Oreochromis niloticus: one gene and its partners. The protein of the gene in region 3 purifies or fractionates together with the protein of the main gene of each other region. This does not show direct contact. Links are inferred from orthologs where the notes say so. Each region holds a gene or a part of one and is shown on either strand. Other genes may lie near its edges.

What was found.
Region 1: the proteins of nop56 (region 3) and nolc1 purify together in Homo sapiens (affinity purification with mass spectrometry; 6 studies listed by BioGRID and IntAct, with this or other methods). This does not show direct contact. The link is inferred for Oreochromis niloticus from reciprocal best matches to the Homo sapiens genes NOP56 and NOLC1.
Region 2: the proteins of nop56 (region 3) and bxdc2 purify together in Homo sapiens (affinity purification with mass spectrometry; 3 studies listed by BioGRID and IntAct, with this or other methods). This does not show direct contact. The link is inferred for Oreochromis niloticus from reciprocal best matches to the Homo sapiens genes NOP56 and BRIX1.
Region 4: the proteins of nop56 (region 3) and ebna1bp2 purify together in Homo sapiens (affinity purification with mass spectrometry; 4 studies listed by BioGRID and IntAct, with this or other methods). This does not show direct contact. The link is inferred for Oreochromis niloticus from reciprocal best matches to the Homo sapiens genes NOP56 and EBNA1BP2.

What each region holds. Positions count from the first base shown.
Region 1 is NC_031978.2:22,127,854-22,135,024, forward strand, and holds the start of nolc1 (nucleolar and coiled-body phosphoprotein 1), read right to left. Parts: upstream 3,013-7,171; 5' UTR 2,966-3,012; coding exon 2,855-2,965; intron 2,562-2,854; coding exon 2,506-2,561; intron 1,903-2,505; coding exon 1,751-1,902; intron 1,641-1,750; coding exon 1,507-1,640; intron 1,407-1,506; coding exon 1,292-1,406; intron 1,205-1,291; coding exon 1,077-1,204; intron 944-1,076; coding exon 826-943; intron 473-825; coding exon 341-472; intron 253-340; coding exon 163-252; intron 69-162; coding exon 1-68. Other genes in the region: mrps6 (small ribosomal subunit protein bS6m), read left to right, coding at 3,496-3,828. UniProt on the Homo sapiens protein: Nucleolar protein that acts as a regulator of RNA polymerase I by connecting RNA polymerase I with enzymes responsible for ribosomal processing and modification.
Region 2 is NC_031972.2:18,181,322-18,189,338, reverse strand, and holds the start of bxdc2 (ribosome biogenesis protein BRX1 homolog), read right to left. Parts: upstream 3,019-8,017; 5' UTR 2,975-3,018; coding exon 2,825-2,974; intron 1,654-2,824; coding exon 1,542-1,653; intron 1,449-1,541; coding exon 1,405-1,448; intron 1,322-1,404; coding exon 1,251-1,321; intron 1,161-1,250; coding exon 1,111-1,160; intron 1,021-1,110; coding exon 947-1,020; intron 1-946. UniProt on the Homo sapiens protein: Required for biogenesis of the 60S ribosomal subunit.
Region 3 is NC_031970.2:28,335,107-28,342,242, forward strand, and holds the start of nop56 (nucleolar protein 56), read left to right. Parts: upstream 1-4,123; 5' UTR 4,124-4,246; coding exon 4,247-4,249; intron 4,250-4,919; coding exon 4,920-5,009; intron 5,010-5,098; coding exon 5,099-5,213; intron 5,214-5,583; coding exon 5,584-5,748; intron 5,749-5,955; coding exon 5,956-6,154; intron 6,155-6,335; exon of another isoform or gene 6,336-6,471; intron 6,472-6,918; coding exon 6,919-7,106; intron 7,107-7,136. UniProt on the Homo sapiens protein: Involved in the early to middle stages of 60S ribosomal subunit biogenesis. Required for the biogenesis of box C/D snoRNAs such U3, U8 and U14 snoRNAs. Part of the small subunit (SSU) processome, first precursor of the small eukaryotic ribosomal subunit.
Region 4 is NC_031981.2:33,036,389-33,043,587, reverse strand, and holds ebna1bp2 (putative rRNA-processing protein EBP2), read right to left. Parts: upstream 3,005-7,199; 5' UTR 2,871-3,004; coding exon 2,775-2,870; intron 2,507-2,774; coding exon 2,423-2,506; intron 2,234-2,422; coding exon 2,061-2,233; intron 1,818-2,060; coding exon 1,694-1,817; intron 1,389-1,693; coding exon 1,299-1,388; intron 1,188-1,298; coding exon 1,112-1,187; intron 994-1,111; coding exon 903-993; intron 785-902; coding exon 622-784; intron 531-621; coding exon 483-530; 3' UTR 193-482; downstream 1-192. UniProt on the Homo sapiens protein: Required for the processing of the 27S pre-rRNA.

The DNA of each region.
Region 1 (7,171 bases), on a different chromosome or scaffold from region 3:
TGGAGAAGGTTTGACTGGGGCTGCTTTACCTGCAGGCTTCTTGGCCGTCTCCTCTTCTGAGCTGGAATCTAGAAAGATGAGAGACATTTACAAACATTCACTGTCACAAACTGATCATCATTTCAACATGGGAAATGAGCGAGTGACGTTTGTGATCCATACCAGAGCTCTCTGAGCTGGACTCCTGCTTCTTTGCAGCGGGTTTGGATGCTCCAGGTTTGGCTGCAGGCGACTTTACAGGGGCTGGTTTTGCTGTGCAAGTTAAAATGCTGTTAGACATCCAACAATAAACACCAAGAAGTCATGTGGGGAAAGAAAAAAAAAAAAGGAACCCACTTACCTGCCACCTTTTTGTCGTCATCACTGCTGTCATCACTGCTGTCTGAAGAGTCGCTGTCCTGGGCCTTGCTTGCTGCTGGTGCAGCAGGAGCTTTCTGGATTGAAGCAGGAGGTGGTACAGCACTGTATGCTCCTAGAAGGACAAATGTAGATTGTCAGCATTAAAAACAAATACTACAAATACAAATATTTTAATCACAGATCATTCCAGAGATGACCAAGTGAACAGCTTTCGGTATAATTCAGTCAGAGCAGAATGGTCTTATGATCCTGATATGGACAAAACTGGACTGTGGTAATTAATGTGAACTCAATCTTACTTGTATTTTCATATAGCTGTCGAACCTATGCACATCAGTAATAGGTTAAAAAGACTTGATTGGGATTCACTTCCCAGGTGCTGATGCAAGTGTGCCTCTCATCTTTCCAAACCAGACTTTTGTTATTGTGCAGCTTGTATAGTTGTAAGAAAGGATGAAAACACACCTGCTTTGGGTTTTTTGCTGGGAGGAGCCTCATCCTCTGATGAAGAGTCTTCACTGCTTGACTCAGTAGCAGCTTTATTTACTGGGGTTGGTTTGGCTGGAGCCGGTTTGACTGGAGCCTAACACAACACATGGAAATATGCTGTTAATATCTGATGCATGCATTTATCCGCTACACACCACACTTGGCTGAGTGTGAGACAATCAACAACACATAACAACATAAAGACAGAGCCAGAAGATCTTGTGTACCTTGGCTGGCTTCTCATCTTCAGAATCTGAGGAGCTGTCTTCGCTGCTGCTGCTCTCCTGCTTCTTTTGAGCTGCACCTTTGGCAGGAACACCTGCTTTGGGTGTTGTGACTGCACCAGCTTTAGGTTCTGTTATTCAGTAAATGCATACAGTAAATTAAGTTACCCAAGATTTTCCTAATCTTAACTTAGACAAATTACTCAATATAGACTTACTTTGTGCAGGAGCTTTGGCGGTTTGTTCTTCCTCAGAGTCAGACTCTTCACTGCTGGAGCTGCTGTCCTTTTTCCTTGTGCTACCTGCAGCAGCAGGAGGTTGTTTCACAGGTGCCTAAAAACAGACACTACATTTTAATAAAAGGATAACAGGCAAGGTAATGTCGCAATAACAGGCTATCATCAGAATGTCTGATTCTGATGCTTTGTTCTACCTTTGCAGCAGGCTTTGCAGCAGGCTTTGCAGCAGGCTTTGCAGGAGCTTTGTCCTCCTCAGAGTCACTAGAGTCTTCACTGCTGCTGGATGCAGCTTTAGTAGCTGCTGCTTTAGCAGGCCCCTTTTTGGCTGCTAAAATGTGGAATGAGGGAAAATGTAATATCACAGAGTTTCAGAATGCACAATACTAGCAGAATTCAGCCAACCCTTTCAGTTATCCATATCAAATATGAAGGTTATACCTGCAGGAGCTGCTTTAGTTTGTTTTGCACCAGCCTCTTCATCCTCACTGCTTGACTCTTCACTGCTGGAGCTCTCAGTGCTGGCTTTTGCCTTCTTGGCTGATGGACCAGTCCAGTTTGGAGGCGCCTTTCGTTTTTTGGCTTCGGGAGATCTAGTTAAAGGTTTTTAAATGTTTTTTTTAAAGTTTCAATGATATAGCCCATAATTATATTAACACACAGTATGCAACACCACCCACATTAAAAAAAAACAACAAAAAAAAAACCTTCAACGGGATAAAAAGCACTCCCTTTCCCAGAGTAGAAAGATATGCAAATAATAACGCTTTAGTCTTTAGCCTGCATGCCAAAGTGTCCTTGGGCAAAACTGAACACTGAGTTAGTGAGAGAGAGGGACTGGCTGCTCCACTCTGCATGGTAAACTATTCTTTGGCATGTTGAATAAAACGCTTATAAACGCTATATAAAAACCATTTAATTTCCCATTTGCCTAAACAAAAATCACTTCAAATTTGTAAAATAACATTTGGGTTGTATTATAACATTTTTCATATTGTATTAGATTTTTCTCTCATTATAATCCTCAAACTCAACGAGCGTTACTAGACCCTTGAACACTGGGAGAGCAGCAGTGAAATTTCTATTGTACCAATACAGGAACATACTTCTCGACACAGAAAGCCAGCTTGGTCATGTGTTTATATTTTTATGTCAAAAACCCCTCTCGAATGAAAAAATATTAATAAGCAACTCACTTCACCCAGAAGTTGTAGATATTGACGAGTCTCTCTTCATTCTGATCTTGCGGAGCCTGTAGAGAAACACATGAAGTAGTAAGTTAATAATTCCCTTGCAGCGCTTTGAATTTGTGACTAAAACTCCACAAATCATAATTTAAAAAAGTATAAACACGCTGTAGTATTTACACTTTAACACACTGCGACCGTTAATTAGCTCAATAGCAGGTTGCAGCTGATACACGTGCTAACTTCACCGGCTCGGTGACCTGTACGTATTTACCCCTCGTGCCGCCTGGACCTAACGTCTAGTACCCGGCGAGAGGACGTGTCTGTCACACACCGCCACACAGCGTAGGCTACTCACCACTTTAGTCTGTTTCAAGAACTCCTGAGCCGCCTTGGTGAACTTGTTCTCCACCAGAAACGAGTACACGCATTTGAAAAGATCACTCGGTACCGACTTCTCCGCCGCCATCTTCAACACGTTCTTCTGGAAAAGGAAGTGACGGAATCAGGCACTTGTGAGCAGGCGCTGGGTGTCGACGTATCGACGCTTCAGTAAAAAAAACAAACAAACAAAAAACATTTCTAGAGGTTTCCAAATGTCAGAAAAACTAAATAAAACATTATAATTTCACTGACTAATTGTGATTTTAAAAATCCTTTGAAAAACCTTAAAAATATTTCGGGTTGCTCTCACGTGACTAATTTCCTAAAACAATACGAGTAAAATATTTGGATATGCTAAATAAGATGCGAATTTTTATTATTGAAATGCACTCATTTACACATTTAACGCCACATTTAAAAAAAAATAAATGACTCTTATTTGTTATATTTAATAAGCTTTGTTGCCCACGAAGGCGCACGCTTTATGCGTCATCACTAAAGACCTTTCGTGCCCCTCGTGTCATAACATGTCGCCTTTCAACTGAGCAGTGTGGCAATGACAGCCCAGTTCTAGCTGAATTAAACGTGTGGCTCGGGTATTACTTTGCTGCAGCCATGCCTCGGTACGAGCTGGCCCTGATCCTGAAGCAGATGCAGCGGCCGGAGACGGCGGCAGTTCTGCGAAGGACGGTGGAGACGTTGATGGAGCGGGGCGCCTTGGTGAGAGACCTGGAGAACCTGGGAGAAAGACAGCTGCCCTACAGAATGACCAAACACAACCAGAGGCACAGCCGAGGGACTTACTTTCTGGTGGATTTCTACGCAGCTCCTAGCATGCTCGCTGGCTTACTGGATCACCTGCACCGTGATGTGGACGTTGTGAGGCCCACTGTGCTGAAGAAAGACGCCCAGGTCCCCAACAGTAACTGCTGCGGACCCCAGAAGTGATTAAATGTAAGGCTTAATGAATGGCGGAGGTGTTTAAAATCACTGGTACTCAGAGTGAAACAAAGTGCTGTTTTATCACCACATCTGTCTGTTACATGCGTGTATTTTTGGGCTGTAGTAAAATATGAAATACTCTACTTTATCGGCCACTTAACTCCATTAGAGAAATGGCAAACAGAAGCATAGTTGAGCAGTTTAATGTAGAGCTCCAATCGATGTCTAGAGTCAGAAAAATGATAAATCTGAAGAAAATCAACCATTACAGTTAGATTATTGCATTTGTGATTTCTCCTTTATTGTTCATGTACAGCCCAAGAAGGAGAGCAAGGAGAATGCTAGTTTTTACAGTAATGAAAGCTTATCAGCTGTTTCTTGAAGAAAATAGCTTATACACACACACACACACACACACACACACACACACACACACACACACAGACAGAGTGGACTGTGGAGGAGAATAAACCTCATGCATTTAATAAAGTGTTTTAGCACTGATGATGAATTGGACCTTTAAATAGCCCAGACAGAAAGGAATACCGCTGTTTATTTGAGGGGAAAAGTCACTTCTGTGATCCTGGATATCAGGGAACAAGCAGCCAAATACAACCTCTAGTAACTGATTAAAGCATTTTAAACACAAAAGGAAAAAAAACAAAAAACAGGGACTATATGTCTGTGAAGGTTCTCAGTCATCCATCTGGACTTCTTTAAGTTTTCTTGAAGATGTTTCACCCCTCATCTGAGAAGCTTCTTCAGTTCTAAGCGCAACTGGTGGAGAGTCTCAGATTTTAAGCCTTAAGGAGTGTCCCCAAGAGTGTCATGGATCCCCTAATGATCCTCTACTTAATCACACTAGCCAAGGTGTGAAAACGGGTGTAGGTCACAATCAGCCAAGGTTTCACCTTATCATGTGATTTCCTGAGGTCTAAAGGCCCAGGATGTGAGTGGGCTTTAAGGCGTCTGGGAAGGGATGAACCGCTGAGTCTTGTCCCGTTGAGGTGGCTCTTCTATGTTGTGCCATGCGTTTATGAAGTGGTTGTTTGGTTTCTCCAATGTAGAGGTCTGAGCATTCCTCGCTGCACTGTACAGCATACACCACATTGTTAAGTTTCTGTTTGGTAGTTTTGTCTTTGGGATGAACCAGTTTTTGTCTGAGTGCGTGGCTGGTCTGAAGTGCACTGGGATGTCATGCTTGGAGAAGACTCTCCTGAGTTTCCCTGATAAACCTGCTACATAAGGGATGACAGTATTGTTCCGTTTGGCCTTCTGATTCTCCCTAGTTGGTGTCTGACCTTCTTTTCTGTGGATCATTGCTGCACAGGGACAATAATTAAAAAACAAACTCCCCCATGTGGTTACAACAGATGGTTAAGTCCATTTGGTTGGACTCTGTACCTAAACCAGCTCCACCCTCAGCCTCCTCGCTTGCTCATACCAGAAAGGAATATGATATAGTGTGATAATGTATTAAACAAATTAACCAAATTCATTAAACCAGTTGTTTGCTTTATAGCTTGAGTGACTGCAAACTAACTTATTGTGAAAATGGGGCAGGAGTGTAAAAATGTGAATCAATATTCCTAGAATATTTCAGTTGTGTGTTTGTGGACATGACCATCACACATGAAGTAGCCATGATTATCCTCTAAATAAATGATCAGTTCATTAGTCACCATCCCTGTAATATGTCAGTGTATTACTTCAATGCAAGTTCATACATTCGGTTCGTATAAGATTTGTTTGCACAAACACAGTTTCTGTATTTATTTCTTTTGCTTGCTGATTTGTAAGGGAGGATGTTACTCCATGGAGCATCATTTTGCATGTCTGCAACAACAGCAGATCCACATGAGATCCACCAAACAAACATAGATGTGTATTAAGCTCTTATAAGAGGTCCTGCCCTGAGTTTGTGCTGTCCTCCTCATCTACCCCCTACACTTACAGACACAGCCCTGTCATCTCTTGCCTTGCCTGCAGGTGTCATTGTTGAAGCAATTTAATCAGGATTTAAATGATTGATTCTTTCCAGAAAAGTATTAAAGTAAAAATATTGAGCTCCCTCATGTCTCTTGAAAATAGATAATCACCCCCCTTCTCCTCCCTCCATCTGTTTGTCTGAAATGGATCTAACTAGACGTGCACACATACACAATGATATTATAATAACTTCACTACATATATTCCAACAGAAATATGTGTGATGGGACAATAATGCCTGATAATTACAGTTGACTGATAAATCCTTCAGCCTCTCTAATAAGTGTCTGTATTCTTTCACCATGACGTGATTAATTAAACTGTTAGTTAAAATGCTATAATCAACAGGAACTGGGAGTAGGGATTTTACCGTTAAGTCTGAACTGACCTTTTAATGCAGTCGTTATGGTGCTCTAATTTAACCACAATACAATGTGTCAGTATATGTGTTGATTGACAGTGGTGGTTACTTATCAGAGGCCTGTGTTGTTTTATTTCAGAATGCTTTTGTTTAAACTGTAGAGAACAAAAGACACTATTGTTTGCGTTCTCTGATACATTTAGGAGGAAATAAGTACACTTCCCGTGCTGATTGGCTCTTAGGTGTCATTAAAGGTGATCACTTCTCTTCAGTTAACAGAGGGGAAAAATTGCTCCTGTGACAACACTTTAATATTGACTAAGGCTGTAACTCAGATAATTCCATTAAAAAACTTCCCCAGGAGAGATTATTTTCTCCGATGTTTCATTTAATCCATGTAAGAAGAGGTGTTTCTCCCACATTTGTGATTTAAAAAGAGACCTGCATTAGAAACATATCTACGATCACATGTGTGAATAAAAAGAACGACAATATTAAACCCATGCAGCTTCCAGTTATTAAAAAAAAGACTTAAAAATATCTTTTAAAATAAGACAGAGAAAAGCCACGGGGCGGAGCTGTTACAGAGACATTCAGGTGGTGTGAACAAAAACATGTTTCGAGCGTTCAAAACAGCAGTGCTTGTTCCTGTAGTAACCACAAAGGCCTTTACTGGGAAAAACTGTCCTTCATCAAAACCGTTGATCAACAAGTGCAAACAGGAAGAAAAGTGAACTTTCTAGGTGCTCCCATCCACCGCAGTTTGCTTAACACAGCAACACATCTACAATAAAGCTATAGAAATTACAATAAAATTATATTTATGCAACTGAACTGTTAACTTAGTCTCATACAATGTTTAAATAAGACAGCCTAATGGAGGTTGACGACAGCCATCCTTTCTGTCACACTGATGCCAACAGTAAGCAGGGGTGAGTCTAAAGGGGGGGCATGGGGTGTACTACTACTACTCCTATTTATTTCAAGGCTTTCGTAACA
Region 2 (8,017 bases), on a different chromosome or scaffold from region 3:
AAATAAAGAGTAAAAATAAAAACTTTAGCTCTTGCTCAGGAGTTTTTTCTTAAATTCAACTTAAACACAAAAACACCTTCACTATTCAAATCACAGACCGAGAATTTTGTATCAGCGTGAAGACACTGTGCAGATTTTTGTGACGCTATTTGTAGGGATGGGAATCGAGAACCAGTTTATGTAGAAAACCGATTCCCAGAAGTCCAATTCCTTGGAATTGTTATTCTGCCTTTCTATCGATCCCGCTTACTGGTTCCTGCACGGTTCGCTTGTCAGAGGAGGAAAAAGGCGACGCAGTCGAGCATGGATATGGACACTTATTTTTATTGCACAAAAGAATGAGATAAATGGTAAAGTGGAAAACTGGACAGAAAAAACTGCATTATACTGCTAACACAACTTCGGTACTTGTGTGGTCTGCTTTGTATTCTCCAAGAGAAAGATCTTAGAGATGTGTGTTCTCATTAGGGATTTGTGTTGGTGTGTGGGGTTGTAGCCTCAGGTTTATATTGTTAAATAGTGTATTTCAGCTCAGTTATAGTGTAACATGAAAGTAATGTAACGAGTAGTGTAAGGAATTATTTTTTCCAGGGAGTAATTAAGTAACGTACTGCATTACTTTGAAGAAAAGTGTTCTGTGTAATATGTCTAATATGTTCTGTGTAACATGCACAAACATTTAACCCACAGCATGCAGTTAATTTGCATGAAGGTAATTTCTATATTGCTGCAATAAGTAATCAAATCGATAAATGATATCGATCTCGGAATCGCTAAATTCTTACCAATTCCCATCCCTATTTCCTTGACTACACTAAACCATAAATATCTGATGTGGTGTTGATGAGACTCATAGTGCAAGAAATTCGGAATAAACACATACTGATTATAAACTAACAGCAAGTCTCATTTATTACTCCTGGCTTTATGACCCAGTTCTACTCACAGGATCAAACGAGAGCAGCGGCCTGGATCCTTTGAGGCAGTTTCCTGTCAGTTTGAGTTCGGCCAGTGTGTGAACTGTCGAAGAGGAGGGGCAATGCAATTATTTTTCCCAACATATAACAAGTGATTGCTGCATTTGAGGGCTTTAGTGGAGAAATAACTTACTGTTCTGGACTAGGAACTTTGCAGAAGGGCCATGGGGGCTGTTTGAAATCCTACAAGACAAGAACATGATTGAACTTAGTTCAGATTGGCTTTATTATGAGTCTGATGTACACGAGATGTAATACCAATGAAATTCTCACCACATATAGAGGTCCTGCTTCTTCTTGGCCTCAAAATAGAGGCACTTGTTGCAGTTTTTGATCTCACAAACCTGCCAAACAAATGACTTTATTCTCCTGGATGCTTTATATATGTTATATAAGAGTAAACTGAGATATTAAACAGCAAACTTACCTCGTTTATGACAAACAGCTTATCCTTTCTGTCCATTTTTGTGTCTAGGCACAAGATTTGTGGGTTAGTAAGGTAAGACAGATAACACAGGTGTTTGTGTGAAGCAATGCCGTAGGTGAATGCTATATGACACTAACCTGCCTTTGCATGAGGCATCATGGTCCTCAGGTCCTGCATCAGGTGTCTGGTTCTGAAGTTGATCCCTCTGGAGGAGAAAATCAGAACTCTTTCCTTGTTGGTCCATTTGCCCTGTTAAAGAGAGTTTACCTCAGAACATCGAACTAAAACAAATACCAGTTTGCAATTTCAGTCTTAAAATGCAACAAAAGCAAAGAAACAGCGTTCTTCTACTACGGTTCAGAGCAGATATGGATCTGCCCGGAAGTTTTTCCCTGTCTGCGGAAGGCTGTTGGTCCATTGTTTACCTCAGCTGTCAATTCTGGGTAAGAGGGATCCACATTTATTCAATCTGGAAGAGACCCTCAAACTTTGTGGAAGTAGTCTAATACAGGTCAGTGACCTTTGACCTCCATACTGAGGTGAGTTATTGAGGATATGCTGAACCTTTCTTTTGGTAAAAGCTGCTGTTTTGATGCTTTGTGAATAAACCCTCCGATGTAAGCAAACTGTTTATTACAGCGAAACCTTTTTGGGACACTTTCTAATTAGATGCTATTGTTGTTTAGCCAGTGACTATGAGTAACAGCAACAACATCAGGAATAAATTAGCATGTTGTTTCCATGTACAAAAGCACTGGCTTGAGGTGAGGATAACGAGGATGACATTTTCTTAAAATGCTGGTGGGCCTCTCTCTTTTCCTTTGCATTTTTGATTCTTTGATGAAGGGGACCCCTTCTCCACGACTATAAAACACAAGCATAATCCTTCAAGTCTTGAGTCTGAAGACGAAGTCACGAATTTAAAATAGCCTCCGAGGTCGACTTCTACGAGTTCTCTTCCTTTGGTGTTTTACACATGTAGCCGAGCTTTAGCCACATGTAAAATGCGACTGGGTGGAAGGGAAATGTCCTTCCCGGCCACTGTATTTAAATAAGCTGGCCGCCTCCACAAAACATCACGAGCCATTTATGTATTTTTAATGGATTAACGATGCGTTTATTAAAACGCATCAATTTGTTGGAAGGAACGTAATAACACACTATCATATTTATGAGCACAACATTCTTTCTTTTTACTATTAATTAGCCTTAAATGCCGACTGTACGTTTAAGAAGGCAGTTTGGTTTATATCTGTGGCGATATCAGATTGGGAATGTTCCGATATAACGAATTCCTCTATCCGATGCAACACACTGAACAGGTTATAGATAAGTAAGTAAAGTAGCGCGTAGTTGGTAAACTGAAGTTGGCTCACCAGCTAAAATAGTTCAGTGGACAATAACACGCTATAACTCTGACCTGAGAGATCGGTGCTGGCACCGTGATCTCATGTTCCTTCTCTCTTCCCACTTCCTCTAGGCCTTTGCCTTCATCTGGTACCAGTTTTCCTTTTTTCGGCTTGAAATCAACGGAATCTTGGCCGGCACGTTTTCTCTTGAACGGCGACATGTTTGCACGCACACGAAACTCCGAACTTCCGAAGAAAAAAAATAACATAAAGCAATAGTGAGAGTGACCTCTAGTGTCCTGGAGATGGTACCCCCAACGTCTTTTTTGGATGGCGGCTCTAGAAGAAAGAAAGAAAGAAAGATCCCCCTTTTCAACCCTGGCATTGAAAAAAAAAATTATTTATTCATTTATTCGTTCAGGATCACTCCTGTTACTCCTGCCTGCCAGAGACAGGTGTGGCATGATGCCAGTTCCTGCCTCCACCTGCCTCCACCTGCCTATATGGCATTCTATATTAAGTAGCTCCAGGATGAACCCTGCGTTCCCTGTACTAAAAAGGTCGATCAGTTACAGGGTTACATCGCCACGGTAACTCATTCTGCGAACCTTAAGTGATCGTCTGCCTAAAAGTGCTTTCTGGTATTCGCCAAAAAAGTGATTACTCGTATTTTAATTGCTGTCATTGACTTGTTGGCCTATAACATGTGAAATATGTGCCAAATGTTTCCCTTGTGATAGCTATTAAGTCATCTTGAGCCACAAACAACATTCCTGCTACAAGGTAGAAACTGAAATTAGTTTTTGGTAAAGTTTCTTTTATATGACCTTTATTTGTCCCATTAAAGAGTCTTGTTGACATTCAAAATGTCTTCTTTGAGGGGATCTGGCCAAGAATGTATCAGAAATGGCAACAAATTAGCATTATAGTTCTATAATGATATTTTAAGTGACCAAAAAGGACTTGATTGGTTATAATGTAGGTACAATAATGCAGAGTCATTCTTTTAAATAGAATAGAATAGAATAGAATAGAATAATCCTTTAATTGTCCCACAAGGGGAAATTTGGATGTAACAGCAGCAAGAAAGACACATATACAAACAAACAGTACACAAGACACAGAACAGAAACATACACAATTTTTACATATTTACATCAAGGGCAATGGTTACCAAAAACAGAGTACTGTACAGTTATTAAATAAAATAAAATGAAATACAGATAAGAGGCAAACCCAGGTTGTAGTGTGAATCGGTTGATAAAATAGTGCAAGTTGCAGTCTGACAGCTGCAGGGAGGAAGGACCTGCGGAAACGCTCCTTCATGCATCTAGGATGCAGCAGTCTGTCACTGAAGGAGCTCTGCAGTTCAGCAACATTTACATGCATGGGGTGGGAGACTCTGTCTATCAGAGATGTTATTTTGGCCAGAGTCCTTCTGTCTCCCACCACCTGCACTGGGTCCAGGGTGCATCCCAGAGCAGAGCTGGCTTTCCTGATAAGTTTACACAACCTCTTCCTCTCAGCTGCCGATAAACTGCTGCTCCATCATACAACACTGTAAAAAATGACAGATGCCACGACAGAGTCATAGAAGATCTTTAAAAGCGCTCCCTGGACTCCAAATGACCTCAGCCGCCTCAGCAGGTAGAGTCTGCTCTGACCCTTCCTGTAAAGAGCATCAGTGTTGTGGCTCCAGTCCAGTTTATTATTCAGGTGAACACTCAGGTACCTATAAGAGTCCACTATCTCAATGTCCACTCCCTGGATGTTCACCGGTGTCAGTGTGGTGGGTCTGCGTCTCCGGAAGTCCACCACCAACTCTTTGGTTTTCCCGGCATTGATCAGCAGGTGGTTCTGCTGACACCAGTCTACAAAGTCCAGAGTCCACTGTCTGTACTCTGAGTCATCCTCACCTGTGATGAGGCCAACTATGGCAGAGTCGTCAGAGAACTTCTGTAGGTGGCAGCGTGGGGAGTTGATGGAGAAGTCTGCAGTGTAGAGGGTGAAGAGGAACGGTGCCAGCACAGTTCCCTGTGGGGGCCCCCATACTGCAGACCAGTGTATCAGAGACACAGCCCTGTGTCCTCACATACTGTGGGCGTTCTGTGAGATAGTCCATAGTATCCACTGGGACATGTGGTGGTCCACTCCCGATAGCTCCAGCTTGTCCCTCAGAAGTCGTGGCTGGATGGTGTTGAAAGCACTGCAGAAATGCTAAAACAGGTAATTTCTTTATTTAAAATATAATCCCTTTGTAAATCCTGTTGACTACAGTCTGTTTACCAATACAAGCAAACATCTTACATGTAAAAAACACTTTCTGTCACAACGCCAGATTAGAGATGAACAGGTATGAACTCTCCACCGACTGAAGTCTTGATCAATGTCACAATTCCCGAATGATAAAGTTGTGATAAGTGATTTATTTGTTAAATCGCACAACTGGCATTTTCCCCAGGTTTTCTTCCTGCCTTGAAGTCAGCTACACTTTATCAATATGTAGCTCTTTTTCAGTCTTATTGTCCAAAACATTGAAAGCACTCACAAATTCATACAGCACTTTTAACACGAAACAGTACAGTTTTTTCTCTCTCATGTCGCTGATTTATCTGAAGTAGCTGTGTTATTTTGATTCTCTGTTATGTTTTTAACCACTTCATATTTTTTTAACATCATAGTTTATTCTTCCTTTGTAAAATCAGCTGCTCAGCTGGTGACATAACAATCAGTGTGATTGCCAATAACACCCCTTTCATGTGAATGTGCTCACACCTACAGTGGGGGAAATGTGATCCCCTGCTGAAATTGCAAGTTTGCTTGTTGCCAAAGAAATGAACATTCTCTCATTTTTTTTGTTTTTTGTTTTGCTAGTTTCATTTTAATAGAAAGAGGGAGAATATCAACCTATAATCCGGAAAAAAGCATCTCTCCACCAGCATGGGCAAAACCAAAGAGCTGCCAAAGGATGTAAGGAACAGATTGGAGGCCTGCACAAGGCTTGACTGAGCTCTAAAACATCAGCAAGAAGCTTAGAGAGAAGGTGAAAACTGTTGCAAATATTTGGAAATGGAAGAAATATAAAATAATCATTGGTCACCCTCCATGAAAGATTTTCCCTCATAGGATGAAGATAATCATGAGGAAAGTGGAAGATCAGTCTAAAACTATACAGGAGGCTCTGAAGGCAGTTGGGACCACCATCACTAAGAAGACCTTTGATAACACACTGTGCTGAAGTGCACTGATGTCTTGCAGCACCACCAAGGTCCCCATGCTCAATAAGGCAAATGTTCAAGCTCATCTAGTTGCCAGTGAACATCTAAATGAAGCAGAGAAGCCTTGGGAGAAAGTACTGTGGTCAAAAGAAACTAAAATCATGCTGTCTGGCATCAACCCAACCCTGCATGTTTGGAGCAAGAGAAATACTGAGTATCGTCCAAAGAACACTATTCCCACAGTCAAGCACGGAGGTGGAAACGTCATGCTTTCGGGCTCCTTTTCTGCTAAAAGTACAAGACAGCGTCACCACACCAAAGGTCCAATTTTCCTATTGAACATCTGTGGAAGGAGCTGAAGCTTCCAGTTGCCAAGTGGCAGCCAAGAAACCACAAGGATTTAGAGAGGTGGGCCAAAATCCCTCCTGATCTGGTTGCCAACCTGGTGACCAACTATAATAAACGTCTTACCGCTTTACTAGCCAAAAAGTGTTTTTTCCTCACCAAATACTATAAAAGTACAGGGACATACCTTTTATGTAATGTGTGTGTGTGTGTGTGTGTGTGTGTGTTTTTCTGGTTTATCTTTTGTGTCTCTCCATTAAAACTACTGTGAAGATTAGGGATATTTCTTTGTAAACGAGCAAACTAATTCTGCAAGGGATCGAACAATCATTTCCCCCACAACTTGCTCAGTTGACCAAGTGAGTTGGTAACCAGCTATGTGTGACCGCTTATCCTGATTGCCAATGTTAGGGTACAGGATGCTGATAACGGCTGGTTATTTTTGAAATACAGTATGACACGACACTTATGTTGCTGCCACGGTTTGCAGGCTGCTTTTACCACACCAAGTCCTCATCTTCATCTCTGCTGTCAAACAACATATATCCTAACCTTTGCAGCCATGCACCCATAGGTCTTTTTTCCTTTTATTATTCCCCGATTAATGTCCTGATTGATGTCTTTTCTTTTCTGGGCACTGATGATGACAATACCCAGTGGGATGTTTTCCTATATGAAGAAGAATAGCATTCAAGTCATTGTTACCACTTCCTAATCTGCTTATAATTACCTGCTCCTTCCTGTTGGTGGAAACAATACTGCAGACACGCAAAGGGTTGCGTGTGGGGAAACATACACAAAAGGTGTAATCAGAACAAAGCAGATTAGGAAAAAAACTAAAACTCAAAAGACCTCTGCAATTATTACTGCATTGTCCCAAACAGAGATTTATGTAACTGTGGATCTGAAACCTGCTGACACAAGCCGCTGTTTTACTTGTTTTTGAACATTATATATAGGTTTTATTTTTCATCTTTGACCTCCATAAACACGACATGAAGGCAGATTTAAAATACGTAAGGTCCTCTTTAATTTTTTATTGTAACAGGACCCAAGTTTAGTTTTAAGTACAGAGGTTTTCATGTGCTCACAATGACTAAGGTGGAGCATGGTGGGTGAGTAAATGATTGATTATAAAAGTATAAAACACAGAGGTGTGGCAGTTTGGGTGTCTTGTAAACTACCTTCTTTGTTTTCAGCGAGGGACATACTAAATCTAGGTCTTTAGTAGTTATTATTTCAACAAGCAGCAAGCTTTCTTGTTAGCACTAGAGGGCGCCATGAGCTCGTGAAGACAGGGATGTGGAGGAACGAGTAGTGAAAGATTGACTGTGACAGTAAACACGTGTATTTCTCCCTTATTAGCTTCCCTTTATTGCCTCTTTGTAAAATCCAGGAGATAATTTAAGAAGTACAAGTGTTAAAAGTACAAAGGTGAGTAGACATCGCCTTTCTTTTCTTTTACTCTCCAGGCATTTGTGTGTCACTGGTATACGCCATTAACACTGCTTTTTGTCTTCCAGATGGCGCCCTAGGTTTCTTTCTGCTGAAGGGAAGTTTAAATGTCTTGAACCTGCTATGCAAAGCACTCTGAGATAACCTTTGTTATGATTTGACACTAATAAAATTGAACTAGAATGTAAATGTGAAGAGTCACACTTTGAAAATGGAACATGAAATTACCATAGATTTTAAGTTTGG
Region 3 (7,136 bases):
TGAGAATCAGAGAGGAGAAACACAAAGTTTTACTTGCATGCAAGGGCAGCCAAAGAGCACTCACACTTGGAGTGAGGGCTCCGAGACTCGCGCTCTGCCACTGCCCTGGTCTTTATTTATACACAAGAAGAGTAATACGTTTGTTCAGTGGAATGTTGATGCATGAGCATGTGCGGATATGTGTGTGTCTGTGTGTGCGCGCGTGTGTGTGTGCGTATGCGTGTGCCAGGAGAGGCTCCTCTACCTGGTACAAAGTGAAACTGCTTATTAAGCTCTTATCTAGCAGGTACTGCTCCTTCCCTGCATGATAACGGGTCACAGTGAATCAAAACAGTCTGAGTTATAAAGAGGTCATCATGCAGTATTCTATCATATGCAAACTTATATTATTAAAAGATTATACTGACTACAATTTTCTATTGACAGCTACATTACAAAATCGAATCTGTAGGCAATATCCCACAATATTATCAATTATTTCACAGAACCTTTTGGTTTTTCAGGAACAACAGTAATCAGTTTACCAGTATGTAAAAGGAACTAATCCTAACCTTCAGAAAAGTTTGGGATCAAACACCAATGAGCTAAACGGCTGATTCATGACTGAAAATCGTGACTGATTTTGTGGTCTGGACTGACCAATTCATTAAGCTCTAGTTTAGCCCTAGTTGTACACACAAGCTGCTTACCTTCATCAGCATCAACTCTTTTGGGCTAAAGAACGTGATGTGTCCCTCCGTCCTCTGAACCAGCAGCGCCATCAGGCACACCAGCACCACGCAACCAGCCACTGCTCCACGCATGCTCATTTTGCTCTGTCCCCTAGAAACATACACATTGGTACATACAGAGCAGAAAGTTCACACACAATACAGTCTGAAGGTGGCCAAGCGACTCTATTTTGCAGTGGTCGACATCTGGCATGACATGCAGCATGTAACCGAGAGCGGACAAAGAAACACAAGGAATCTCGTGCTTATGTAATACAGAGTTTGGGAAATACATTAGAGATGGGGGGGGGGGCAGAACAACAAACTCCTCCAGAGGCAAGATAGATAAGAGGTTGGAACCATATTTACAACCAGCAAGACAGGTCTGTGCACAAATGTGAGTAGATGAAAACAGAACATCAAAGAGAAAGAGAAATGAGAAAGACCTAGAGGCAGAGAGAGACAGAAGCACAAGAAGCCATGAGTTACTCACATGCTGTGTCAGCGTTGGTTAGTTGCTTGAGGAAGTGTGCTTTAAAATGAGCAGAGCTCCAGTGGTCTGAGTGTCAGCTTGTTGCTGTCAGCCTTTATATCAAGCCCTCTCCTGATCCCTAAGCTTTTTACTGTCCTCCCTCACATCCGCTCCTCAACAAGCTCCTTCAAGCATAGTCCTGGAAACACAAATATTACTCAGGAACGGCTGGCTCATTTTTTTATTTTTTTATTAGGTTAGTATACTCACCTAATCTTCACTGGTACGTATAAATTATAAGATGAATGTATACTGTGCAGTTTTAAAAAAAATCAAAGCAGTCATTTCCTCATTTATTTTTACTCACTTTAGGAAGTAGAATTAACTCATGTATTCATAACACATCCTACAAAAGACAAACTGCAAACTGAAAAGTAAAGTTCAATTTTTACGTGACTTTCGTTTGGGTCACTGAGTTAAATATAGAAGCGGGGGAAAAACAATTACGACAGTCTTTTCAAAGAAGTCAGTCATATATCCTCGGCTCCAAGTAATTATCTAACACATTCTGACATTTATGACCTGCTACTAATTTGTGTTCGCGCACATACAGACCCACATGCATCTGTGCCTTGGAAACCTCATGACTTATTTCCTGCACGGTGGCGAAATGTTACTGCAATTTATTTTTATTTTGTTGTCAGAATACTCAGCAAGAGTGTTTAATTACAAGCATTGCTATTGTTCTGTGTGGTTTATTACATTTTAGGTGCATAGATGGAGCTCTGTATGTCTTCTCTAGCACTTTATATTACACAAGCACTATGACACACAGGTGACTGCTACATTTTTCTAACACCTAGAGTATGTATTTTAAAGTAACATTTAGGGATTTAGAGGCTTCAGGATAAATTATGGAAATTGTATAACCTTTATATTATAATACTAGTAAAGAATATGTATAAACAGTTTAAAATAAACCATGCTGTATATATTCAAATCTACATTTTAAACTTTGGCATACAGAATCAAACACCACAGCAAATGTTTCAAGACATCAATCACTGGGTACTGAATTTGGGATTTTCCCTTTAAAGGGGGAAAATCTCACTTCCAATGCCATGTTTTTACTCTTGGACTCTTGGAGTCACAATTAAAAAATAATCTTTATTCATCTTCTGAAACACATCATTTTACAGCCTTTCTTCAAGCCAGCTTTGCTGTCTGTGAATTCAGACTGAGCCCAAGGGCGCCTCCAGAATTTTTTCATAGGGTTAGCCATGTGGGGGCCACTAAAAATGTTGGGGTGTCACCTCAAAAACAGAATTTTCTAGTTTTATTATGCTGTTGTCAAATATAGGTTACTTGAAAATTATGGCAAAAAAGAGAGAAAGAAAATAATTAACCCAGTTAATTTCCTGCCATTAAAGTTGATATCATTGAAAATACGTACATATGAAACCCATTTTGAAATCCACAATAATTTGTTTTGATTGACTGATTGATCGATTGATTCCAACCTTCACTAATGATTCTCAGCAGAGCTGAGCAGAAGCTGTGGGGGGCCAGCAAATTCAGGGGATGCATTGCAATAACTTTTTTGGAATTACAGTCATTGTTATCTAAAGTCCCCCATTTTCAAAGGATCAAAGGTAACTGGACAGTCCTCTAACAAGCAATTTTCTGCTCCCTTGTTTCATGACAAATAAAGCAGCTGGAAACATTTGGTGTTAATTCAAGTGCTTTTGACAGTTAATCTCAATAAGAGGTCCAAAGAAATGTTGATGCAATTGAAGGAGTTAAAAAAAAACATTCACAAAAACACTTGACTTGGTTAGATGCGGTAACCATGTCATTGTAACAAGTCTATGATCAAGAGAGGTGTTCATGGATGAAAATAACGTGCAAACCACTAGGTACACTCAAGAGCAATGCCATAAAACATATAAAGAACCTGCAAAGTTGAGTAAGTGTTGTAAATGTTGACTAATTAATAAATAAATAAATACCACAATGACAAGAAGAGAAAAATATGGAGAGAAATAGCTAATGATGATTAAAGACGTAATTCTGAAGTGCACAGGCTGGTATTCTGTTCATATTCAGCCAAATACTGCAAAACTGATTAGTCAGCACTTCACAGTGCAAATGTATAATGACCCGAGCGATAATGCAAAAGCAACCAGCGAGCGAGCCATGGCAATGAAATGGGATATTCTTCAATTGCCTATTTATCTGATCCCAACCTAATATAGCATTTTGTTTAGTAATTAAACACAAACCTCAATCCAGAAAGACCCACATACAAGCATCAACCAAAGTGGCAACAGTGCCAGCATAACAGAGCATCTCAAGGAAGAAAAAAGCATGTGGTGATATTTATGGTTTACAGACTTCAGGATAGGATTTTCCTTCAATTAAAAATAAATCATTCTTATTTAAAATAATCCTACTTTGTGCAGTTAGTTTTTAATCTGGGTGGACACTGTATACAAATTACTTTAACTCCTAAACAGTTAATGTAATGCTTTTGTTAAGCGCCTCTAATTAAAACTGAACGCCTGGACTTCAAAATCGCATATTAAGTGTAAGACTTGGAATCCACTGTGGTAGTCTGCAGATGTGGTAGTCTGTATTTTTTTTTAAACTGCAGTCCCTGGCTATAGATATTTAAAACATTTCTCTACCAACAAATACACGTGGCCCAAACACTTTATTGTTTTCGTCTGTTTTGCCCCCTCCGACCTTTTCTCAGTGTGTGAACTGTAAATACACTGCTTCAGAAAAAAAAAACAAAAAATATTTTGGGACGCGTTTACCCACAGTTAGATGAGAACATATATAAGAGCACGAACCTTATATTTTAATATTTGTTTCTTCAGCATAGGAAATTGGGGAAAGGACGCATATTGAAGCTTTCTCGGTCGGGTCTCGCGATGTCAGAGCTGCTACCGCGGGATTTGGGGCGGTGCTGCTGTTTGCTGAAACGCGTGGACGCAGTCTTTTTGCTGAGGTGAAGCAGCACAGCAGACACGAATTGCGTGCTGCCGCAGATTTTCCAATCATGGTAAGCTGAGCGGGGTTGGATATGTTGGCATGACTGCAAATTGTTCGTTAAACTTTACACTTTAAGTTTTTTTGCAGTTAGTTGCGTTTTAAGAGTATAAATGTCTAGTTAGATTTAGTTCACTTCTGTCGAGCTAAAGGCCCTCCGACATTTGGGGAGCAGTTCCGCTAGTGCTGACATTAGCGGGAAAATATATATTTTACTTTAAAGGCTTAAAGTGACAAATGATGTGTCCAGCTGTGTTAGTCGCAGTCGTGCCAGAAGCACTGATATTGACAGTGCTGTAGCAGGTATTGTACTTTTCTAGGGGCCGTGTTAGCACAAGCTAGCTCTTAGCAAGCACGTTATACGCAGGCCTAGGTCGACACGTGGGTTCATCGAGACTGCAACGTGGTTACGTGTGAAAGTTACGACAAAGCAGTGGTAGCTAAACCTGAAGTGGGAAAACACTTTTGAAAAAGCTACTGCACATTTATGCCTAAAATTGCAATCTTATTTTAGGAATTAATCGAAAGTGAAGTTAGCTCGTGTCTCGCTGGTCAGCACGTGGGGACTAGTAAACACTTGATCTGAACGTAGTTTTAGAAACACCTTTCAGTTTCTGCTGGCTGCAAGTGTTACCTGTTTACGTCTGTCGTCTAACTCGATCGTGCACGTTCACCTTCCCTAGGTGTTGCTGCACGTGTTGTTCGAGCACGCGGCGGGCTATGCGCTGTTCGCCGTCAAAGAAGTGGAGGAGATCGGCATGCTGCTGCCCCAGGTGCGTCCTCTTCCCTAACTCCTGTGTACTATCTGTTTTGTGTGCTCTTTAAGCAGAGCACTGATAATTGTGCTTTTGTGTCGTGTCAGGTGGAGGCGAGCGTGCTGAGCCTCGGAAAGTTTAACAGCATGGTGAGCTTAGCCGCCTTCTTCCCCTTCAAGTCGGCCCAGGCCGCCCTGGAGAACATGAACGCCATCTCTGAAGGTATGTATGATTATCATTTTTCTCTTTATCAATCTTGTGTGGAAAAGTCCTCAGCTGTAATGATGTTTTATAATCTGTCAATCCACTGAGTTCTTGTGCTGACAGTTTCATATCAACCCTGAACACCTGAGGAAAGACTTTACATGGACAGCCGAAATTGTAGATTTTGATTTGTTCTTTTATCTGTAATAATTGTTAATGAGACTACTTTAATTATGTTCAATTTGTTCTGAGATGGCAAGATTGCATGATGGCAAATTATCGGGCTTTAATATGATAATATCACAATAGTCAGTGTCGTATCTTTTAGATGCCTTTCCATCTCAACCACGTGTCTACAGATGTAATTACATTCTTCCATCCCTTGAAGGTATGGTTCATGCTGACCTGAAGCTGTTCCTAGAGACCAATCTGCCCCAGTCTGGGAAGAAAAAATCAGTGTTGGGGGTTTCTGATGCCAAGATTGGAGCAGCGTTACAAGAAGAACTTAGCAGTTCAATCCAAACTGGAGGGGTGGTGGCTGAGATCACACGAGGTGAGAATGTTTACCTGAGAGTTATTACAAAATATGCAAAACGATACTGTGTCTATATAATAATGTGGACTGTTGTGATGTGAACTTGTGATCCTGAAACTCATGAAGGTTCATACTGAAAATCTGAACAGCCGTTGGATCTGCACTTTTCTGTTCGTGTTCTTCTTAACACTCAGCAAACCTTCTCAATCTGTCCTGTCCCGTCAGGTTTGCGTCTGCACTTCCACTCTCTGGTGAAAGGTCTGACTGCCCTGGCTGCCTCCAAGGCACAGTTGGGTCTTGGCCACAGCTACTCCAGAGCTAAAGTCAAGTTTAATGTCAACAGGGTAGATAACATGATCATCCAGTCCATTGCTCTGTTGGATCAGCTGGACAAAGACATCAACACCTTCTCCATGCGTGTCCGGTAGGAAATTTTCATCACACAGTAAAAGGACTGGTTTTTGCATAAAATTAAACAGTTTAGGGAACATGTTAACCTTTCATGCTGTTCATCTTTTACTCTTTTAATCTCTTCTCTAGTTTTATGGCTTTTCTGGTGACAGATTTGCATCAGGCTTTTTGTAGTTCAGGGTACATTTTGGGGCATCCTCCTAATGCTTACCACAGACAGCACACCTCAGAGTGCTGACTGTATAGAAACAGGAGGTAGATCAGTTACTCCCAACACTTCTGCTCTGCCAGCTGCTATCTGGTGAGGCAACACTGTTGGGTGGAACATCATGTATATTTACTAGCTCAGCATCTTGTAGCTGTTTGGGGTGTCGTGGCGCATGCATTCATTTTGGTGTGAAGTGTCCTGGTGCAAACTGTCAGAGTGCAAGATCATCTAGAACATTTAGGCATCAGTTATTGTCAGCTGTAGCATTCAAGTCTTAAAAGCTCCAGGCTTGTCCTACCGATACAGGACTCTGTGAATAGAATTGGATATCTTGAGAGAAAGAGAAGCTGTAATTTTGAAAGTGATATTTTTCAGCAGTCTTGAACTTAATTAAAAATTGTGCCATCTTAATGGGTAGTTCTGTTTTGTGCTTGAGCATAAAAGCCTCGGTTATTGGGTTTGTTTTATAATAGTTGTTTTTTTTGTTTTTTTTGTAAATGTGCAGCCTTTAAATGCTTACTCCAAAAACCCTGCACTCAAAGTTTTAACAACCTCTTGTTTATCTACAGTGAATGGTATGGCTACCACTTTCCGGAGCTCATCAAAATTGTGTCCGACAACTCGATGTACTGCCGCCTGGCTCAGCTCATTGGAAACAGGAAGGAGTTGTCAGAGGAGAGCCTAGAAAGTTTAGAGGAGGTGGTGATGGACAGTGCCAAGGCTCAGGCCATCCTGGATGCATCACGCTCCTCTATGGGTGAGTACACCGGACATTCAGAGTATGTGC
Region 4 (7,199 bases), on a different chromosome or scaffold from region 3:
TAAAATGTCATGTAACATGGGAGAGAATCAATGAGTCAAAAAGCTGAGTGAGAAAAGTAAAACAACACACAAACCTCAGGAGAACAGTGTGTCATTGAGAAGGTGGAGATACTGAGGTGTAATCACAGAGAGTGGATCTAAAACCACCTTAGGGTAGGGACAACTGCAGCCACAGATGCAAATATCAGTGTATATACAGCAAATAACATTGTCCTCAAACTTAGGAAAGCTCTGTATTTTGGAGCTGTGTGCAGTCCATTCTTGGCTTTACAGGCCCTTTGAATAACTTCCCCAGCTGTAAGATCGGACTCAGTCCATCTGTGGTTTGAATATGATTAATATGGACCTCCATATCAATCCAGATGCATGTACGAAAGGTATATTGTACCAAAAAATGTAGAAGAAGAGCTCATAGTCCCTTAAGGCAAATCCTGCCAAAAAGCAGAGAGCAAAGTCCAGTCTGCTGAGCAGCCCGCCAGTCTCTAAGAGCGATTCTTCATCTTCTTGCGCACAGACTTGCCTGGACGTTTCTGGGAGTCAAAGAGAAAGAAATTATTTGTTTTTTTATTGACTGATTTGAATAAAACTGTCAATGGCTAACTGTGTGTGTGAGAGACTCACATTTTGTTTTCCTCCTTTCCCCTTCTTCCCTCCCTTGCCGTGAGCTATTTTGGCACGGAAACCGGAAACATCGTTGTAGCTTTCCTTGGTGTTCCACTTCTTTCCACTCTTTTTGCCTCCAAAGCCAAACTTCTGGTCCTTGTATTTTCTCTTAGCGCTGGGCCTGTAGAAAAAAAAAGAAGGGAAATTGTGAATTTCATTTTAAAAATACCACAAATCTGAAGTGGGAGCAAAGAAAAAAATAAGCAATGACTGCTGTGTGCACTGCTGTTCAAACTTACCCCTTTTTGTTCACTGCTTTCTTTGAGCCCTGAGAAGATTCTTTATTCATCTTCTGGTCACCTTCCAAGAATTCCAGTTTGTCGGTCATTCCTAGAAAGAGAAGATGTTGTTCTCAGTGCTCAATAAGTGATGCACCCACAGTGGTATAGTGACAAAACGATAAAAGAAATAAGGAAATAACGTCCATGCTACACTTGTAAACACCCACCCTTCTGGTATTTCTTTACAGCGGACATCATGGCCTTCTTCTCCTGCTGTCTCTTCTGGATCACTTCTATTTGGACCTGGCAAAAAATTCAAAATTAGAGTCAGTCTTTTAGCCATGTACAGTCGAAGTATCATACACATATAACATTTACAGGTGTTAAGAAGAATTTCTAAACTCAGTCACCAACCTTTTTGCCAAACTTCCTTTGCTCACGCAGTTTCTTGGCCTTTTCTGACCTCTCCATAATCATCTGCTTTGAGATCAGCTTTTTCCTGATCTGAACAGACCAACACATGAAAAGGTATATGAATATAAGCCTGACAGAACAAAAGAACAACTAAACTCAGGTCCTGAACCAGTAGGTGCAAAGAAATGTTAATTACTTTACTATCTGGGTGAGAACTAATACTTAGATTCCAACATCACTGTAATTATGTGTTTCAGGTTTTATGGAACATGTAAGGAGAAAAAAAAAAGCAAACAGCTGATGCTTTGCTGGTTTAATGTAATGAAATACAGTTTGAGCTTTAAACATATTTGTCAAAACTGAACCTGCATCATTATAAAGGAGACCAGGCTCACCTTCTGCATATGCTGATCAGATTTGGCCATCTCTGCAAAGTAGTCTTCGGGCCTCTTGGTGGCTATGCTGTGCCTGTTTAGAAGTGGCATTGCCTCGAGGATTGTAGCCTGAGCTTGACGGTAGCTGTAAATTAACAAAAAACACCAAAGAATTGGAATGGTCTCTTTGTAGCTGTGTTGTATTTTTGCAGCATTTTTTTTTAGGCTATTCTCTAAAACATTCAACACTGTATGCATGTTTGTAACTCTTTAGCTGAAAAAAGTGATTTCTTTGTCTGACTCGTAACCAAACTATATTAGTGTGGTTACAAAATACAAGCATATGTGATGCTTTAAATAAAACTGAGCTAAATTAACAGTCACGTACAAGAACATCTCCCTCTGGAAATCATCATCAGCATCCAGTTCTCCAGCGGCTGGCGCTGAAGCTTTCTCTTCAGCTTGAGAAATTATATTTGCAGCTGGTAGGTTGGTCAGATCCAATCTCTCCACCCAGGGAAGATCTTTACGAAAATCAGCAAGACACTGTTTCAACCCCTCCTGTGTGACAACATAGGATCAATAAAGGTACAACAAGTAACAATATTATTATATTCACTTTACAGGGAATTTCGAGAACCGTTCCATTGCTGCTTTAAAACTATTACAGTGGTATGGTTGTTTATAGTACGTTGATCATCCCTGTGTAGCATAACTTGCTACTAACAGAAGATGTGAGATGCCACTCACCACATTGTTGACTAACTTTTTCGGTTTATCCACCAGAACGTTCATCCCAGGCTTCAACAACCCCGCTGCGAAGGCTTCTTGCAGCTGGGCAATGAAATGAAGATGAATAATATTAACTCTGACTTATCTAAACCACCACTTGCTACAGCAAGACTACACGGTCCTACTAAACGTGAACTTTCGTGCTATCTAAAAAGCTTGATTAGAAAAATAAAGATTCCGACACTGATAATAGTACCAGGTCTCTGTTTGTTTGATTAACTTTATAAACAGCAGGCACAGTGACGTTTAAAACCCTAATACTTAATAGGAATGTGGTTAGCTAACGATGCTAGCATGTTAGGAAACTGACCTCATCGTCCGATAATTCACTGTTTTCCTCCTCTGAATCCTGACCGAGCAGCGCCTCTTCCTCTACGAACGCCATAGTCTTGCTGCCGATAACCATGAGATGACTATATGCGAACTATCAATATTAAAACGTAAAATACGCCTCGGATATACAGTGCTCCTCACATGGAGTATAAGGAGCCTTTCACGTGGAGCGGAAGTGACGCCTCTGAACGTCCTACCTATTCAGTTCGCCGGGGGATAAAAAGTGTAAAAATAATCGTTCCTACCCGGAAAAAATTCCAACGCAGAAAAAGTAAATAAATAAATAAAAAATAAAAAATACAGAAGTAAATAACGTTTAAGTCACACTATCCGATAACTCAATGTCCGATTCGCTCGTTGAAGAGTTTCTGATGCAACTTTAGTCACGTATCATCTTATTTCATTGAAATCTCCGCTTTTCATATAGATAAAAATGTTGTTTTGAATTCCATTCCAGTCTTTAAATTTGATTTAACATATAAAATAAAATGCCTTGGGTGGTTTACGAAAACCAATGACTGTATAAAAGTCTACGGTCTTTGACGAAAACACGTTTCCGTTACGTCTAGTGTGTAATATCAAATAAGTCCTCTTAGAGGAGATGTTGTACACCTGCGCAGACTGGAAAGTACAGTGGATGGGTCGATATGAGAACTTTACAGTCTAACGTCAATTTAGAGATTCTACTTTAAATCTTTTCCTATTGTGTAAAGGAAGACTCAGGATTTTCACTTGCCACCTCATCAAGACAGAAACTATCGACATTTCTTTTCCATTACTCAATTCCTGAGTCGATTTCTGTCACTTTGACATGGCACGACTGAGAAAAATGTCTGCGTTTTTGGCCCAGTGTCACTGTCAATGAACATTTTGTCTGTGGGGAAAATCAGGACAGCCCAAAATCTGGTGCTCTGAGTAAAGTTTGTTTCTGCATTCATTAGACATTCAAAATTAAATAAATTCTTTTATTGTTTATTTCTTGGGATGTAGCCTGTGTGTGTCTTTAACATACAGATCTCTGCCTGTGATCCTTTCCTCTTTAGTCATGCTACCCAAGGAACTTTTTTCTTTAAACTCTCCAGTGCACATCACACACATTTTGATTAGCACCCGAGAGAAACCAGTGGATATGCCGTATGCAAAGGCCATCAGCATTGAAATGTCCAAAACCGAAGAGTACTTCCAATGGGAGTCACAATCATTCACTTTAATGTTAGCGAAGGACAGTTTGTGTTCATCTTATGTGGTCACGTAGCAGTTGTAGAGTGAAGGGCTTGCAGTTAGAACCAGAGTGCGTATGTGCTGAATGCTAATGGTGTGCTTTGCCTGTGACCATGGAAGTAAGTTGATCTTACTCAAAATGTCACTTGAAAGGGATTCATCTCAAGTGGTCAAGCAAGGATCTCAACCATACCAAGGGCAAGGCGAAGAGCTGACATTCTTTAAAGTGTGCATACTAAAACTAAGACTTAGTCTAAGAGATAATTTACCCTTTCGGGTGGTGAGGAGTAAAACACTCCTAAATGCAATTAATGGTTAGCTGTGTTATGTTTATGCTGCTAAACAGATATGGTTTTCTTTGGAAGACAAGGTAATTGCAAACCTTTATTATAGCCACATAGCAAAGAAACAGATAATCAATAATCACCCAGAAAGTAAAGCAGAATCAGACAGACAGTATCTTTGCCTTTTTTCATTGTTTTATGTGGTCTCCAGGTTTCTCAGTGTGAATGTAACTTAAAGAAAAATATAAGACATATCCCTATATTGAAACTGTTTTGTGTGGTCATTACCTGGGTGGTTGCTGGTGTCCTATCTTATGCACTGTGCATCAGAACTGCTAACTGAACAAAACAGCACATAGCATCTTTGATCTTCGCTTTCATACGCCATTCAAATAACTAAAAAACATCAAAAGATATTGAATCTGGAACTAATGCAGTATTTTAATATTTTGCCTATTTTATCCTAACTTTTTTTCTCTTTACATGACACTGCTGCTCTTATCTATGTTACTGAAAGTTAAATTCATTATCTCTTTGAAGGTTGCATTTGAGATTGACTAATAGCAACATGAACAGCTTTCTTCTTAATAAGCGGCTCGTTTTCACGACACCTGGACTACAAAAGTGATCCAACTTTACAGGCTTACTGACATTACTTTGATTTGTCAGGAAAGCTCAGAGTAGTCTTGCAGAAATGTGTTAGAATAACAGTTGTAATAATTAGAACATACAGTGATGGTGAAAAGACACAGTTAATAAAACGTCATCTGGTCCTTACCCAGTCTTAAAATTAAGTAAATGCAACCTTGGACAGACAACAACACCTGATATATTACACTGAGCCAAAATGCAGAAGAAATGTGTTAAAAACTGAGTAGAGCCAATTGTTTAATAGCTTGTAGACCTGTAACTTGAAGTTATAATTTCCGGAGTGACTATATGTCTCTCACATTGTAACAAAGAAATTTTGGCTCACCTGTCTTACAAGGCTGCTTCAGTTCATTGAGGTTTGTGGGCATTTATGCACAGCTGTCTTTTGGTCCAGCTAGAGCATTTCTATCAGTTTGAAGTCTGGACTTTGGCTGGACCATTGCAACACCTTGATTCTTTTCTTTTTCAGTAATTCTGTTGTAGATTTGCTGCTGTGCTTGAGGTTGTTCTTCTGTTGACCCAAGCTTGAGCTGTCAGACAGATGACCTCATGTGTGACTTTAGAATATTTTATTATACAGAGAAGCTCGTGGTTGACTCAATGACTACAAGGTGTCCAGGGCCTGTTGCTGCAAAACAAGCCTAAATCTTCACCCCATGAGGTGTTTGTGCTGATATGCTGTGTTTGGCTTTCTTCTATCCAAACGCCACCTTTTTGGCCTCATCTATCCAAAATACATTGTTTTAGACATTTTGTGGTTTGTTCGGACTTTGCAAACCTAAGCAATGGTGCCATGTTCTGTTTAGAGAGAAGAGCCATACTTGTGCCATTTGCTGATTGTTTTTCCATGAACTTTAACATTTAAGATGCTGACTGATGCTTGTAGAGTCTGAGATGTAGACTTTGGCTCTTTCAGGTTTTCTGAGCATTGCACAGTCTGACCTTGGGATGAATTTGCTGGCAAATCCACTCCTGAAAAGATTGGTAGCTGTCATGAATGTGTCATGTTTTCCACTTGTGAATAATCTTTCTCACTGCAGAATGATAGACTTCAAATTGTTTGGAAATGGCCCTTAACCATTTCTAGATTGATGGGGAGCAACAGTTGCTTCTTCAAGATTGTTGCTGATGTCTTTCTTCCTTGGCACGGTGCTAATTCACCTGACTGCTTCAGGTCAGAAAACTGCCAAAGCTTTCAAAGAGGTGGTCACACTTTCTTATGACTCAAGTGCATTTGATTATCAGCACCTGGCTGCTACTTACTATCTTCATTCCTATGGAAGCAGTACTGGTGGACAGATTATATTTACTACACTGGAATTTAAAGAGAGTTCACTTTATATTTCTTACCATGACTGTAGATGTAATAATTAGCAGTAACAAACTGATTTCTATGTACACTGATGATGAAGAATGATCTTTTCATGTCACTTTAGCATATTAATGAGACATTTAGTTTGGTATTAAACCATGCAAATTTTGTTTATTTCACAGCTCAGCAGGTTAGAGAAGTTTCGCTATCACTAATACCAGATGGGCAGGATAGGAAGTAGACTGGGGACTTCTGTGCTGACAGCCGCTGTTCATTTGAGATGTCATCGGCCTCTTTCAGTGTTTTATCCTCCTAGTCCTCAAAGCAGAGGCTGTCTGAGCCCCCCTGAGAGTGACATTCATTCTATTCTGATGGAAATCGATTTCTACAATTTGAACATCACCACCCTTAATTCTTCCATTCTCTGCATGGTCAGAGCCCTGCTCTGAGACATCTTCAAAAGGAGAAAAAAACCCCCCATAATTTACATTTCTGTCATTGTAATCGCTTGAGCCAGACAGAAATGCGGTCTATTAAATTCCCATTCTGCTGTCACTCTTCATATCAGGGCAACAGACTGCTTCCTGACACCAGATTGAAAATAAGTTGGATTCACTCTGTCAAGCTCCTCTTTTGGAGTTATTCCTGGTTGCTGGAGGATTGGACAAAAAAACAATAATACAGTCATGAATGTCTGGGCCTAAGATGGCTGAGTGCTTCAGCTCCTATGGCTCTCAATCAGCCTAAGGAGATTTAGGGATGTGCAAGTAAACAACACTGGATGAATTACTGGGAAAAGTATTTTAGGTCATTTTGTCTTGATCTGTCCTTTCTTGAGTGGATATCCATTCCTTCTCCATCCATCAAAACATCTGTGAGTTGACTGCTAAAGAGTCGGCCTATACCCATGTATTACTCTAGCCACACAGTAGCC